2 linked regions of the Arabidopsis thaliana genome follow. The protein of the gene in region 2 interacts with the protein of the main gene of each other region in a pairwise test. Each region holds a gene or a part of one and is shown on either strand. Other genes may lie near its edges.

Region 1 (7,611 bases), on a different chromosome or scaffold from region 2:
ATAGGCTGAGAAGCCTTGGTTTCTTCTGGTGGTGTGGGTTTTGGTTGACCTTCCATAACCGCTGGTGAACTGAAAAAGTAAGGCTTTGCTTAGGAGGAAATAATGTCATCATGTCAAACTAGCCAGACAAAGGAGTTGCTTTTCACCTAGGTGATGAAGATGGGAAACCGTTAGAAGTATGACGTGATGCGCCTATTTCATCAGCTTCTTTTGATGTTTCAAACACATCTTTAGGGATGCAAGAGTTCCCAGTAGGATCCAAAGTTGCCCCAAGAGCCAAGACAGCTGCATCAATAGGAGCGCAAGTAAATTAAGAGAACCCAACTAAAAATCAGAACCAAAGGAATTCAACATCCAATGTATACCATTTGTGGTGTTTCCGATAGTAGAAGTAGGTTGGATAAAATCGCCATCTTGATCATTGAAGTCATCTACAGCAGTTCCACTGTCGCATACAGTTGAAAAACTTCAGAAGATTGATATACTAAAAAACATATCTGTCAAAAAGAAACAAGGTACAATCTGTGTTGGAAGGATAAGCACAATAAAAAGAACCTTTGAGGAGCGGTATTCGTATCTTCAGATGGCTTGACTCCTTGTGTGGAGATAAATGTCTCCTCCAAACCAACTCCACCTAATCAGAACACATTAAATCCATGAGACAGAGTATAAAAAGCGAAGATGAGAGAGTGTATACAAATTAAGGATTAAGGGAGAAACTAACGAGATCTAGTGTGTAAAACTCCTGTTTCTTTGACGGCTTGATTAGCTTCCGTAGTCTTCACTCAAGTAAAACACACAAGGACACCAAAACAAGAAAGATTGGAACTGCAAGTTTTTTCTTGGTAATGAGAGACACATAGTGTAAAGAGTGCTTGATACCTGATTGTGCTCAGAGGTAGGTATGGCTGAATTTGGTAGAGCTCTGCTTTGTTCATTCCGTACAGCTGAAAGAACAGAAAAGAAGAGTTAATTTCAGTTTCAACTCATGTCTTACTGAAAAACTTCTTCCACGTGTGAATAAAGAAAGAAAAAAAACACCTCCATCAGCATTCAAAGACGAAGCATTTCCTTTGAGCATATCAGTCGCTAAAACATAGGGGCTGTATTTAGGTTCCAAAGAGGCTACACTACTGGGACTTTTAAGCATTTCCTCGGTTGCTTTAGCTCTGACTTTGCGAATTTCATCTTGAATATTCCATGACTGATTAGAACCGGACTTCCTTTTCAGCTGCATTTGGTAACCAATGTCAGAATGAATAAGGGTAAATTTGAGAGAGCCATTGAAAATACATATAACGGTATGCAACTTTTCTTTAGGAATAGCTGGAAATAGTGTCCCACAAATTCCTCGTGGTTATCTAACATAAACAATAGAAGTTAAGCAGAGAATTTTATCTCATAAACCAAGATGAAACGACTTCAGACTTTCAAACAACATTTGACCAAAAGAAAAGTATGCACTGCTGGAGAACTTAAAATTCTAACCTTGGATGAGGAAAAGTTTCCAGCGCTATAAGGAAGGGGTGTCCCTTGCACTCTTGCTGATGATGGTGATCGAAAATCTAAATTATTCGCAGCTGGAGATCCCCATGGCAGACGAGCTCGCATATAAGACTTGGCCACGTCCACAGGCGATCCAGCACCATCTTCAGTTGCCTGGAGATTTAAACTAATGGCTGAGATGGTGATCATCATTTAAAGTACAATGGAAAAAGAATACTGTGAAGCGAAGCTATCAGAAGTTGACCAAAATCATGTAAGTAAATGGTCTTCATAGTCAAAAGAAGAGCAACAATATGGATCTTTTGCATTTTAAGCGGACAAAAAGGTATTTCCCAATCAGGACATTTCAGAATTAACGTCACCAGATGGCCACACGCAGAATTCTGAACAACCTACTTTTGCAAGAGAGCTTTAAGTTGCTGATCACATGGATTGGCATATAACAATCAAATCATTTTACCCAAACAGAAGATGTCTCCTTCTATAATAATAATGGCTTAGAGCACGGAGACAAGATATCACAAAAAAGTTGATACCTGCAGGCTGCAGCAATTAGAACAGTTAAGAAGCAAGTTTCCAGAACTTACTTTATACTTTGAACTTGATCCTGATTTCTTCTCCTCCAACCATTTTCTTGCTTCCATGACAGCTGTATTGGACATTTCACCCACATTCACGTCTAGAAATAAAATAGAAAAGAAGACGTTATCACATAGACTAATCCGGTCTACTTGCACAGTCTACCATCAGTAACATACCGCTTGTCAATCCATAGTCATCATGACTCGTCTCAATAGCAGAGGGGACGCTGGGATGATCTACAACCCTAGCCTTGATGATATCTATTAACCTATCACCCTCTTCCCTGAAACAACATACACATGAATGAATAAGCAGGATACAAGATCAGCTTAGATTTGGTAACTACACACGTCTCAGAAAGATTCTTTAAGCTATGAGGTGTAAATAATAAGAATAGTCGAGGAGGCTGCTACTTATGATGTCCAAAAAGCCAGGCAGAGAAATACCTTGCAAATGTTTCTTGCAAGAGAAGCTGCTCAATTACACGCTTAGAACTGAGTCGTTGAATGCTTGGTTGCTGGGCACTCAGAAGGTCCTATTCACACAAGCACAAAAACTGAAATTATGCTTTTATAAAAAAAACTCTCAGTTGAAAACGTGTTAGCTTCACGAACTTTACTTCAAACAATTATCATAGGACTACAGTGGCATAGCAATCACCAAAACGAACAAGGTGGTTAGTACCTCTTCAGTAAAATCGGGATTGTTCTTCTCAACATCCTCATCACCATCAATATCTGCAAACAAAGAAGAAAACATATAAAAATCCATACATTAAAAGAATAAGACACAACAAAGCTGGTTGGTATTCTCAATCCCAGAACTACATTATATGAATAAAAATTAGAGCTTTAGAATTAGTATGAAGTTTATAGCTTAGAAGTAACCTAACTAAATAGAGTACAACAATGCTTAACTGCTCTTAAGTCCCACATATTAAAGGAAAGAGAAAATGGGAAAGCTTTAAGTCAAACTTCACATTTCAAACGAAACGGTAGCTTTCAGATTCGACCAGACAATAAACCAAAAATTCAAATTAATCCTATCTAAACTGAAATAAATGGTACAAACCTGAAGATGAATCCTCGTCCTCCTCCGAAGATGAGGAAGAGTCGGAGAAGACGACGGAAGAAATGAATTTTCCGGCGCCGGAAGCAATTACGCTGGCGGGTTTGTAAACGAGCCTGGAGATCCAACTAGGGTTTTGCTGAGGAGGATCTCGGGATCTCTGAACGGGGCGCTCACACGGCGTCCTGACAACAGCGGTGCGTCGTGGTCGAACAATTTTCCCACCGACTCGAGGCTGACCTGCTCCGGCGGCGTAACCGGAGACGGAATCCATGGTGAAAGTGAGAGGAGGAGGGAGAAGTTCGTTGTAGGAAATAATGAAAGTGTTGAGGAAAAATTGGTAATTTCTCGTTATTTGTCGTCTTCTTGTTTTTTTTTTTAATTGGGGGTGAATAGTTAGTTTCCTAAATTACAGGCCTGCGGTTAAAATTTCTTCCACTAATAAAATTAGGCAAAAACAAAACATTGCGATTAAAAAAAATTAATCGTAGTAAAATCATGTATTATATTCTTCTCTTTTCATATTTTGAACATATCACATGATGTTTAGATCTTATAAATGCAGTAATTTAATAGAGAGATTAGAATTTGGAAGAAAAAAAAGTTACATGATTAAACGAAGTAATTAATCAAGTTGTAAGTAGTTATTTTAAAAACAATATTAGAAAAATGTTTTTTGGTTACTCATACAGTAATACTTAATTCGTCAACTGTGTCAGTGTTACAAAAAGGCTAAAAGAATGGGCCAAATGGGCTACTCTTGTATCGGGTCAGGAACGGGTCAGTTCCAACCCGATCGGATCTAAAATGGGCGGGGCGCCTTCCTTTTCATTTTGATGGCAATCAATCATCATCAATCGACGCTTTTTTAGAGACAAACACGATCGCCGATCCATTTACGAGCCGTCGTTGCTCTACACATATCAACAACAAATCTTATCCTCCCAACTATCTTTTCTCTGATTTTCTTTTCTTCTCCAGTTTCCATTTCTAGAATCGATCGATATTGAAGGAGAGAAGATGCCTGGTTTAACATGTAACGCGTGTAACATGGAGTTCAAGGACGAAGAAGAACGTAACCTTCATTACAAATCCGATTGGCACCGCTACAATCTCAAGCGCAAGGTTTCATTTCTTCTGCTTTCTCTATCGAATTTGAACTCAAGCCTATCTGTTTCTCGGGAAAATCTTGCGTCGGTGATGAGATGAAAGTTTCTGAGAAACAGCTTTTCCATTTTGCTATCGAAATTGTTTAGTTAAGGTTATGGAATCGTAGAGTTTATATGAAAATTTGTTTTGAAGCTTATTCTACTAAGGAACAAGGATTTCAATAATCATAGATTTGGTTACTTCTAGGCATTTGAATCTTTGTATTTCTGTAATTTTTTATGTTAGGTGGCTGGAGTTCCTGGAGTTACAGAAGCCTTGTTTGAGGCTAGACAATCTGCTCTTGCTCAGGAGAAGAATAAATCAAATGAAGCACCTATGCTTTATACTTGTGCAATCTGTGCTAAAGGTTACAGGAGTTCCAAGGCTCATGAGCAGCATCTTCAGTCGCGTAGCCATGTTTTGCGGGTTTCACAAGGGACATCAATCAACGGAGAGGAGGATATAGCGATTATCAGGCAACTTCCTCGCCGTGTTCAACACAGGGGTTCCATTGATGATGATAGTGAAGATGAATGGGTGGAGGTTGATTCTGACGAGGAATTGGCTGCTGAAGAAGCCTCTGATTCTTTGTCTAAGTTGAATGTGAATGAGTCTGGATCTGCTGAAGATATGGATGATGATGGTGATGCAGATAAGTATGAGCTGGATCCAACCTGCTGTTTGATGTGTGACAAAAAACATAAGACCTTAGAGAGCTGTATGCTTCACATGCATAAGCATCATGGTTTCTTTATTCCCGATATTGAGTATCTCAAGGATCCTGAAGGGCTTCTCACTTACCTTGGTCTTAAGGTTTGGACTCATCAATTTACCATTCAGTGTTCGTTGTTGTCAAGCTTTGAAATTCTTACTCCTGTTTACTTATACATTGCTCATCATTTAGGTCAAGAGAGACTTCATGTGTCTGTACTGCAATGAGCTGTGCCGTCCATTCAGCAGCTTAGAAGCTGTAAGAAAACATATGGAAGCAAAGAGTCATTGCAAACTGCATTATGGTGATGGTGATGATGAAGAAGATGCTGAGCTAGAAGAGTTTTATGACTACAGCAGCAGGTTTCAACTCTCTTCTATCTCTGATTATTCTTGTTCTCGCCTGTATTCCTCGTTCTATGCCAAATCTTAATCCGCACCTTTCTTTGGAATATATGAATTGAGCAGCTATGTTGATGAAGCTGGAAAGCAAATTGTTGTATCTGGTGAAACAGACAATACTGTAGAACTCGTTGGTGGTTCTGAGCTCTTGATCACGGAGAAGTCCGAGAACACAACAACGTCTAAAACTCTCGGGTCCCGTGAATTCATGCGTTACTACAGACAGAAGCCACGCCCAACTTCTCAAGACAGCAACCAGATAATTGCCTCTTTATCTTCAAGGTTTGTTTTCTCCAAACCCGTTAATCATCCGAGTCTATCCAATCAGATAATCGGCAAGGTAAACTAAGGTTATTCCAACAAATGGTAAATTCTCAGGTACAAGAGCCTGGGTCTGAAGACAGTACCGTCGAAAGAGGAGACTTTGAGGATGAAAGTGCGCAAGGAGATGAGCAAGAGAGGCGAGACAATGCGTACCAAGATCGGAGTGAAGAGTAATGTCATAAGAAACTTGCCCAATAACGTCCCATATTAGTTTCTGTGTATGTGCCACTTGTTCTCAAGTGTTGGATTGTATGATGATTTCATGTACTTTTGAGTCTTTGACCAAGTTGTGTTGCTACTTGGTAATAAGAGTAAGCTTTAAAAAGAGTATGTTCACTGAAATAGAAATGTTAAAAATTAATACACGAACGTTGACTTCTGATTTACTCTCAATATCTACATTGTCCAGAGATGCATGTAAAACAAAGAAGAGACAACGACAAAAGGGTACTACAATATCCCAAAAAGGCTTTTTGTTTAGTTTTTGTACAAAGGCTGCGACTGCTGCGAGTAATGTCACAAGACAAACCTAAAATAAAATTTATGTGTAGAAACAAAAAGAAAAAGAAGAAAGAGGTCCAAAACCAAGAACACTGGCTACAAATAGGCTGGTCTGCATCATTTGCTTCGCTTCATTTTCCAGCTGACTGAGAAAGAACGAAAAGGAACATTACAGATTCACAAGAAGACAGTACCAAAAGCATAGAAACAGAAGGTTAATACCTAATTTTCATAGAAGCGGGTTCGACGCCTTCTTGAACTGTAAATCAGAGAAAACAAGGCATCAAGCAATGTCTCTTAAGTAACCATCATATATAGCACAAGAAAGCTACTAAACCAGGTCAACACCCCAAGCTATTATGCCAGAAATATCACACAATGGGGCCTGATTAGCTAATTTGTCATTCAAGAGGTGCCTAAAAACCAGGCTCACTGGTAAGCCTTTAATATCAATGCAGAATAATTATAAACTATGAAAGTAAGAATGTATATCTCTGCAGACAGCAACAATACAAAATTAGTGGTGTAAAGCTATAGATTATTCTGACCTTTGGTGCATAGAGCTACTTCTGTTAGCTCCACTTGTGCTGATGAACTCGTCATCGATCTCATCTACTCTATACTCCGGAAACTCTATGGATGCTACTGAGCTGTCATCAGAGTTGGAATTCTCATAGCTAGAGCGGCGACTCCCTCTCCTACTCTCACTCATTCTTGATCTTCTTCGATTCCTGGCATTCCTTATATTGTCAAACATTTGATAGAGAATACAAGATGTCCACCAGTTTCCTTCATTGTTGGGAACATCCTCAAATTCATCTCCTGTGTCATCATCTCCATATTCGATCACATAGTCCCCTAAAACCACTCCTCTTGGAACTTCTGAGTGAATTGTGCTCAACACGTCGATTATTTCAGACGACTGCTGGAAATTCTCCCAGTCAAGCTTCCGTGCTGGATCAATTTCTGAAGGACGAGAATCCGGATGCTCTGACTGAGCATGTTTGCGAAGCTCCAAGTAAGTACCCATAAACCTGCATCGTTCTTCCTCACAGCAACGTTTTTTCTCATCAAGACGAAGACGAGCTTCTTCTACAACAAGCCAGCCAGTAACTTCTCCTCTACACAGTGGACACACAGGTTTGCAACTCTCTTCTAAAACCTTAGAGCGAGGCTCATCAGGAGCAGGAGGTGATTCAGTACCACAGGCGCTAATGAAACGATCCAAACAGTTAGAGTGAAGGTGATCAGTATTGCAGACAAAAGCACGGCAACCGTTTCCGTAAGAAGAACACTGGAGAAGCACACCATTGTGAGGGAAATCCAAACAAATGGGACAAGTTAAATCATCCCAATTGAGAGTCAACT
Region 2 (8,076 bases):
AAGACTAAGCATAAAAGAAATAAGAAAGATTGAAGAAACATACGCAAATATGACGCACGACCATTTTAATGCTCCATTGCGATAGATCTGAAATAAGCAGAATGGTGTATCCATATAAGAGAGGCACGCCGAGACATTATTTGCGTCCGATTTGAGAAGACAACAAAAACTAGTAGAACATACTATATAAGTTCCAAACCATAGAAAGAAACCAAGACCTGAATATGATTTTATTGAATTATCATGCAAAAGCTTTACTTCCACAAATCTGAATCTTGCTTAGCTTTTGGTTTTTCTCTAGAACTTGATCTCTCACATTTTTTCACAGCTACGGATTGCGGTGCTTTAAGCTAACAAAATCCAAAACGGTTTACAAATAACAGTGTTCCATCAGTGCAAATGTATACAAGACCAGCAATACATACATAACCAAAGGCAAATTGTCCGATCCAATAGAATTATCTTGAGATTTGGAAATGGCAACTTACAAGTAGGAGTTCGTGGCTAGTTGATATTCTTGTTTTACTCTATCGTGCAAGTTCTTCCAGCAACTTATGCCACTGCTTATACCACAGACAAATAAACCTTTCTCTAGCTTATTTCGATTAATATAATTGTATATTGATTCAAGATAAGTTAAAATAGTTATTCCTTATCTGATTCACACGATATTCAGCCTTACAACCTTGTGTTAGAGAATCCAAGAATGTGGTTGCAAGTAAACACCAAGCTCTCAAACGGTTTGAGTCAAACCCTGAACAATTAAAACTACTAAAAAACAAAATTAGAAACAAAGAGAGAAAGTTAAAGGGAAAAGTACCCTTTGAGAGTCTCCATCTGTAGAATTTCAAATAGTAACCTAGTACTATCTAAAGCAAAGTACACATTTTAGTGGAAAATAAACTGAGATAAGAATATGCCAAGCGATAAGGATAGAAAGTAAGAATTTTAAAACAAGTTCAGTAGTTAAGGAAGAAATACAGTAAAGAAACAGGAAAAGCAAGTTAACCAAAGAATTAAGTAAAAAAAGACAGTATGTAAGAAATCAAGCATGTAAGCAATGAAACAAGGAAGCCAATTAACCAAGGAATTAAGGAAGAAAATACAAAGGCAAGCAAGTAAGCAAAAGAGTCAAGGAAGCAAGAAAGGAAACAAACAACCCAAGAAGCTGGTAATTAAGCAAGGAAGAAAAAATAAAAGAAGAAAGCAATCAAGTAAGGAATGAAAGCAGAAAATATGTAAGCGAAAGGATCAGAAAATGAATCAAGGATGCAAGTGAGAAGAAATTATAAATGTGTACAAGCAAATATGATGCATAGATGTATGCATGTAACAAGTACGTAAAGACATAATCAAAGAAACAGAGAAGAAATTATGAATGTGCACAAGCAAATATGATGCATAGAAGTATGCGTGTAACAAGTACGTAAAGACAGAATCAAAGAAAAAAATAAGGAATCGAGTTAGCACACAAGTAACCAAAGAAGGAAGCTGATTAGTAAGCAAGGAATGAAGAAGAAAAAAAAGTAGCAAACAAGCAAAGTATTTAAGTAAGTAAACAGAGTATCAGACAGAGAATCAAAGAAGCAATTATGAGGGTGCAAGGGAAGCAAGTACGCAACTAATCCATGTATGCATGTATGTATGAATGCATGGATGCATGAATGCAAGCATGTATGAATGCATGGCGTGTATGTATGAATGCATGAATGTATGAATGCATGGCGTGTATGTATGAATGCATGGATGCATGAATGCATGGATGCATGAATGCAAGCATGTATGAATGCATGAATGTATGAATGCATGAATGTATTAATGCATGGCGTGTATGTATATATGAATGTATGAATGCATGGCGTGTATGTATGTATGAATGTATGAATGCCGGCGTGTATACGAATAAGTGCCTGTAAGTATACACATTCTTCAATTGATTTGCGAATCCAGAATTCTCTGTTTTCTGAGTTCTAAGAAACGCCACATTCTAGGCTCTGGACTTTGCACCTGAAGAAGAAACGTGACTTAACATCATATTCAAAGACCAATATCAAAAGATCAAGGAGGAGAAAAAGATTGAATAGATCAAATATTTGAACAAAACCAAAGGCACTTTGTGTTTGTTAACATAACTAAGATTAGAGCCGCTTCCTTGGTTAACTATGATGAACCATCATCTTCTTCTTGTTCTCAGGCAAAACGATCTGTAAAAAATAGAAAAGTAAACCAAAAGAATCAGACCAAGAACCAAACCGGAAACACAGTGATGCAGAACAAAATCTATACCAGATACAGAGCATCACAACACCACTTGATCTTTGATTCCCATTCACAAAATCTAAACCTAATACAGATATCCCAATCTCGCGATCGTTTACAAAACCAAATCAAACGAATCACAAAACTATCGTAGATGGTATTGAGGAGGAAATAACAAAATTGATCGAGACAAATCAAACCCCAAAAGATTAACACACCGATGGAACAAATTAAGTAACATAAACAAAGAACGAGAGGTGTTGTAACAGTAATCGAATCAACTAATCAAGTAACAGAGAAACACAATTCATAAACAGATCATCGGAATTGAGAATTCATAATCATCGGAATTGCCTCAAAGAAACCCTAAATTCGAGAGTTTGATAACTAACCAGATAATCGATATACCTAGACGAAGTGAGAGATCGTCATTTCTGGATCATGATCGTCGCCGACAATTCGTCGGTGAACCAAGCAAGATCGCCGGAGAAAAAAAAACTTCTCCAGACATTTTGCAAAAAAAATTAAAATTTAGGGATTTCTAAAAAGTGAGAGATATCATAGAGAGATTTGTAGAGGTTTTTCTTCTTCTTCAAACGGTCTAACTCCAATTTTTTCCGCTATATAGAAAAATTCAAAATTTGAAAAATCAAGATTCCAAGACTAAGACATGTTTCGAAAAAAAGAAATTGAAATTCCAGCTGTGACACGTCATGATTATCATGTGCAACAAGTTTGAGCTTAACCGGGATTTTAACATTTTGGTTTAGTGTGAAGGCCTGAATGTTTTTGGTTAAAGCCTAACCACTGTGATCTCATGAACATATTTAGATTCGTTTGGTTTTGGTTTTAAAATGTGACATTAATTCTAAGTCCAACCCAATTAGATCGAAGCAATTATATGTTATCTTCCCAACCCAAACTACGTATTTTCAACTATACAATGAAAATTAAAAGTGACCAAATTAGGCGACACAGAAACGAACAGGTCCAATATATAATAGTTTGGGCCGCTGTAAAAATATACACGTTTGGGCCAAGCCTAGTAAAAAAAAACAAAAATTTGGCCTCTTAACTACCGATTCCAAAATTGAAATGTAGCGTTTTGATTATTCTTCTTTAAATTGTCAGGTTCTACGAAAACCCTAACCAGAGAAGCTTGCCAGCGGCTGAAGAGTTCCGACGAAAGCAGAGGAAGAAAAATATATCGGTTAACCGACCGAACCGAAACACTGGGTAACCAAACATAATTTACAAACCTTCCGATCGGTTTTCCTTTCCTAACCGAAGCAAAGCCCGGAACCAAAAATTTCGGTTCGGAGCGGTTCGGAATTATCGGTTCGAGTTTGTCTCGCAGGCCTACAAAAAAAACTCTATAAATATATGACATATCTAAGGGTTTCCTTAACCTAATTCATTAGCTTTTTCTCTTCACTCTGAACGTGAAAACAAACACAGAGAGTTTGTCTTCAAAATCAACAAGAAGATGACGACCATTCGATCTTCACCTTCTTCCTCTCGTTGTTCCAATTCGTCTTCCTCTTCTTCTTATTCACTCGCTTCCACAAGTTTGTCTAACAGACTTGAGACTATATTCAAGAAAGCTTCAGAGCTTTGCACTCTCTGTGATATCGAAGCCTGCGTCATCTATTACGGACCAGACGGAGAACTTAAAACATGGCCTAAGGAGCGAGAGAAAGTGCGAGACATTGCTCTGAGGTTTAATCAATTAAACGAAGCCTTGAGACACAAGAAAAGCGTTAATCTTCATGGGTTCCTGAACAAGAAGAAGAAGAACAAGGGTTTGAAGAATCCGAACAAGAAGAAGAAGACGAGTCTTAAGAACGTGAATGTTTTAAAGTATCCACTCGCTGATCATTACTCTCCCGACCAAGTTTCTCAATTGACTCAGTCCTTAGAACTCAATGTCTCTAAATTCCAAGAAAGGCTTCGATTTCTTGAGTCGCAGAAACAGAATGAGACAAAACCGGATCATCAGAGTTTAACATCAATATCTTCTCTGAACCAATCTTTGAACCCTAGCCAGTTCTCGCTGTTTATGTATAACCATGGATATAATACTCTGTCTCAGATCCCAGTCTCTGCATCAAATTTCAATCAGGATTATATCTCAGCGTTACTTGAACAATCTGAGTTGAAGAGTCAGATAATGAAGCAGGAGGTTTGTGGTTATGAGCAGAACATGTGCATGAGTAACCATGGAGATGCTACGCTCTCTCAAATCCCATTCTCTGCATCAAATTTCAATCAAGATTTTTCAGCCAACAACAACTTCCAACATTCTTTTGTCTCAAACACACAAGATTACTACTCTGTTCAAAAATCTGTGAATAACAACTATGGGTTGAAGAATCAGTTAATGAAGCACGATCTTTGTGGTTATGAGCACAACATGTGCATGAGTAACCATGGAGATGCTACCTTCTCTCAAATCCCACTCTCTGCATCAAATTTCAATCAAGATTTTTCAGTCTCAATACAAGAAGAATCTGGCTTGATGCAGCAGGAGCTTTGTGGTTATGATCAGAATCAGAACATGAGCATGGGTGACATCACAAACAACAATTTTCAAGTTACTTGCGCCTCAGTACTAGAATCTGTGAACAACTTTGGGTTGAATCAGTTGATGCACAAGGAGTTTTATGGTTGTCATCAAAACATGTCTATGGGTAACATCAATAACAACAGCTTTCAACATCCTTGGGTCTCAAACGCAGACCATACTCGGCGGTACAAGAATCTGTGAACAACTTTGGGTTGAATCAGTTAATGCATGCAGCATGAACTTTACGGTTACGGTTATGCAGACTTTTGTTAATTTCTTATGATTAATTTGATGTGTTGTTGTTGTTGTTGAAATGTATTCAGATCTACAGCTTGTTTACGGTTATTAGTTGGATAGTATTTAGCAGTACATGCACTTTCACTTTCCATAAAGGTCATTATTGTATCATGATTGATGCAGAGGATATCTACACCAGTATTCTTTCACTCTATAGTAGCTAGAAACAACAAGTACTACGTAGCTTATTAGTGTCTTTTAAAGTACATATATATAAATGTGATATGTTGGCTCACTTCACAATACCTCGCTTCTGTTCATTTCCCGTAAAATACTCTTCGATATAAGACATCTATCACCTACATGACTCCAAAAGAATCTCAAAACATCGTTATCACCAGCGTAAGAGGCACTGATAGATTTATAAAGTTTCAAGTTTACCATTAACCGTCGATTATACATTACATCGAACAAAGCAGAAGCTTCAGTGACCTTCCCTGTTCGCCAATATGCATACGCCATGGTCGTGAATATAACACTATCTCCCACTAAACCCTTCTTTTCCATTGATTCAAATAACACTTTGGCGTAATCCACCTGTTCTAACTTACAAATCCTTCTTATTAATCCTCTGTATAGAGCAACATCAGCACAAAGACCTCTTTTTTCAAACTCCTCTAGGAGTTTTGTGATTTCGTCTTGCTTGTTCTGGTTATAGAATCCATCCACGAGCCAAGAATAGGTCGCATATCCAGGAGAGAAGCCTTTCTCTATCATAGAGAACAGTTCCTCCTTTGCATTTTCCAGTTCCAACACTTTACAAAACCCATGAATCAATGCTTTGTATGAATACATATCCAGTTTTAGCCCTGATTCAATCATCTTCTTCTTGACCTTCACTGCAGATACCATGTCTTCGATTTTGCAATATGCGTTGATCAAAGTATTGCAGGTGATATTATCAGGTTCAATCTTTTTTCCACTCATCTCAGTCAAAAGCCGGTTAGCTTCTCTTATTCTTCCATCTTCACATAACTTACGCAAAATCGAATTATATGTCACAACTCCAGGAGAAAACCCTCTTGACTCCATTACCTCACGTAACCTCAAAGCTTCATCAATATCATTCATTCTACAATATCCATCAATCAAAGTAGTATAAGTAACATGATTCGCTGTAACATCGTCTTTAATCTCCCGAAACAGTCTTGTGGCCTCTCTCATTCTACCTTCTCTACTAAACCCATGTATGAATGAATTATAAGTGACAATATTAGGAGCAACACCACTTCTCTCCATCCTATCTTGCACAGATAAAGCCTCGAAATGCATACTCTTTTTGCAGTACACAGAGATCAACGTGTTATAGGTAAAGATATCAGGAAACACACCTTTTTCTTCCATCTCACTCAACAATTTCTCAGCTTTCTCGGGATCACCAGACTTAGAACAAGCATGAACCAATACATTATACACATGAATGTTAGCAACAACACCTAACTTAACCATCTTCTTGAATATCTTCCAAACAGTATCAGTCAATCTCTGCTTCACCAGACTATTTAGTAACACAGTACAAGCTTGCAAATGAGGCTTCAATCCACAACTCCTAATCTGCTCAAACACCACAATCGAATCGTTGATCATCCCGGCTTTAGCGTAATATATCATCAACCAGCTAAAGACGTGAGATACATCTTCTGGGTCTTCAGAAACACCACCAACTAAAGATCTCAAAACCAGAGGAGATGACAAAAGCTCTCTCTGAGCCAATTTATCGAGCAGTTGGTGTGCAGTTTTGAAATGCTTGTGTTTTGTGAGAATCAAAATCATTTTCCATGATGATTGTAAACTATGTTTGCTACTTGGTAAAGAATCGGTCCAGATAAAGAAACTCCATGAAAGAGAAGGTCCACCATAACCAGAAAACAGAGAAAGCTCAGAGATTACCTGAGTGGTTATCGCTGATTTCAATAACCCAGAATCAACTTTGTGTTTCAGAATATTTTTCCAGTTTCCTTTCAATACTGTTGCACAGATGCTTTGTGCAATCAAAGCTTCTCGATTTGCTGACAACAAATTCACCATTGTTGTTCCTCAAGTGTTGTAGGAGTAACAGAGAAGAGCAACGGCGATAAAGAGAAGGCCTAAACCGGTTTGAATTTCTCCAGTAGATGAACCAGACCAGATTATTTACCAATTAACCGATAAAGGACTGAATTCAAAACCGGAAGCGAATCGATTGTTTTGGAATATCCGGGAAACGGCCCGAGAGAAAATACGTAATAAATCGAACTGAACCCAATTTTAGACCGGTTTAGTCAAGAATACGTATATGTCCTCTCGTGTTGCTGATATTAACAACTTTACCCTTGTATCTGTTTCAGTCCAAAACCTCACAAAAAGCAAAAACCCTAATTTACATGGTCGTGGCCTGACTAATCCCTAATTTTTCCGAGAGCGTCGACGCCGACAATCGCCGACAGAGTTTTTGCTTCTCACGCGATAGAAAGAAGATGAAGGAGACGAGAAAGCTGAAGAAGAGTAATCTCCCTAAAGGTAGGCCTAATTTTCTCGCGTTTATATTCTTACTTAATTGATTTATGAGGTTTCATTACAGAACCGAAAAGACCTAACTATGGTTGTTGTGTATACTAAGATTGTGTTCTTAGAGGTAACTTATTTGATTTCGAAAGTTGAGAGCTTTAATTGGAATGGCCTTGAACTTAATTACAAAGGTTAATCTTGTGAAGCAGAAGAAGTAAATTGCTTATGCAAATTATTGTTTGTCTAATTGAAGTGACGGATAAAATCAATGCAGAAGAAACTGTTGGGAAAAAAATTCAGAGGAAGAAGAATGAGAAAGTGAGCAATGTCGAATTAAGCGAGGATCCTCAGGCTGCACAGCTTCAAGGTGAAAGTTTTGGCTTTGATGGATTTAGAAGTGTTTTATAGTGTTTTAAGATGTGTTATGATGTTGAGTATAGTATCTTGTTTATTATTCCTTACCAGCT

The links. Proteins that work in one complex are often made in the same cells at the same time.
Region 1: the proteins of AGL77 (region 2) and AT4G31420 interact in a two-hybrid assay, tested with the Arabidopsis thaliana proteins (one large-scale study listed by BioGRID).

The regions. Positions count from the first base shown.
Region 1 is NC_003075.7:15,244,329-15,251,939, reverse strand, and holds AT4G31420 (Zinc finger protein 622), read left to right. Parts: upstream 1-3,881; 5' UTR 3,882-4,176; coding exon 4,177-4,281; intron 4,282-4,551; coding exon 4,552-5,118; intron 5,119-5,209; coding exon 5,210-5,379; intron 5,380-5,481; coding exon 5,482-5,700; intron 5,701-5,796; coding exon 5,797-5,953; 3' UTR 5,954-6,124; downstream 6,125-7,611. Other genes in the region: AT4G31430 (flocculation protein), read right to left, coding at 1-69, 147-285, 366-445, 556-634, 725-779, 883-947, 1,042-1,231, 1,489-1,659 and 5 more; AT4G31410 (E3 ubiquitin-protein ligase, putative (DUF1644)), read right to left, coding at 6,466-6,502, 6,792-7,611. UniProt on the Arabidopsis thaliana protein: Pre-60S-associated factor involved in the cytoplasmic maturation of the 60S subunit. Involved in the dissociation and recycling of other late pre-60S factors before newly synthesized large ribosomal subunits enter translation.
Region 2 is NC_003076.8:15,509,975-15,518,050, reverse strand, and holds AGL77 (AGAMOUS-like 77), read left to right. Parts: upstream 1-3,745; coding exon 3,746-5,026; 3' UTR 5,027-5,108; downstream 5,109-8,076. Other genes in the region: AT5G38730 (Tetratricopeptide repeat (TPR)-like superfamily protein), read right to left, coding at 5,360-7,150; AT5G38720 (ribosomal RNA-processing 7 protein), read left to right, coding at 7,701-7,800, 7,884-7,976, 8,075-8,076.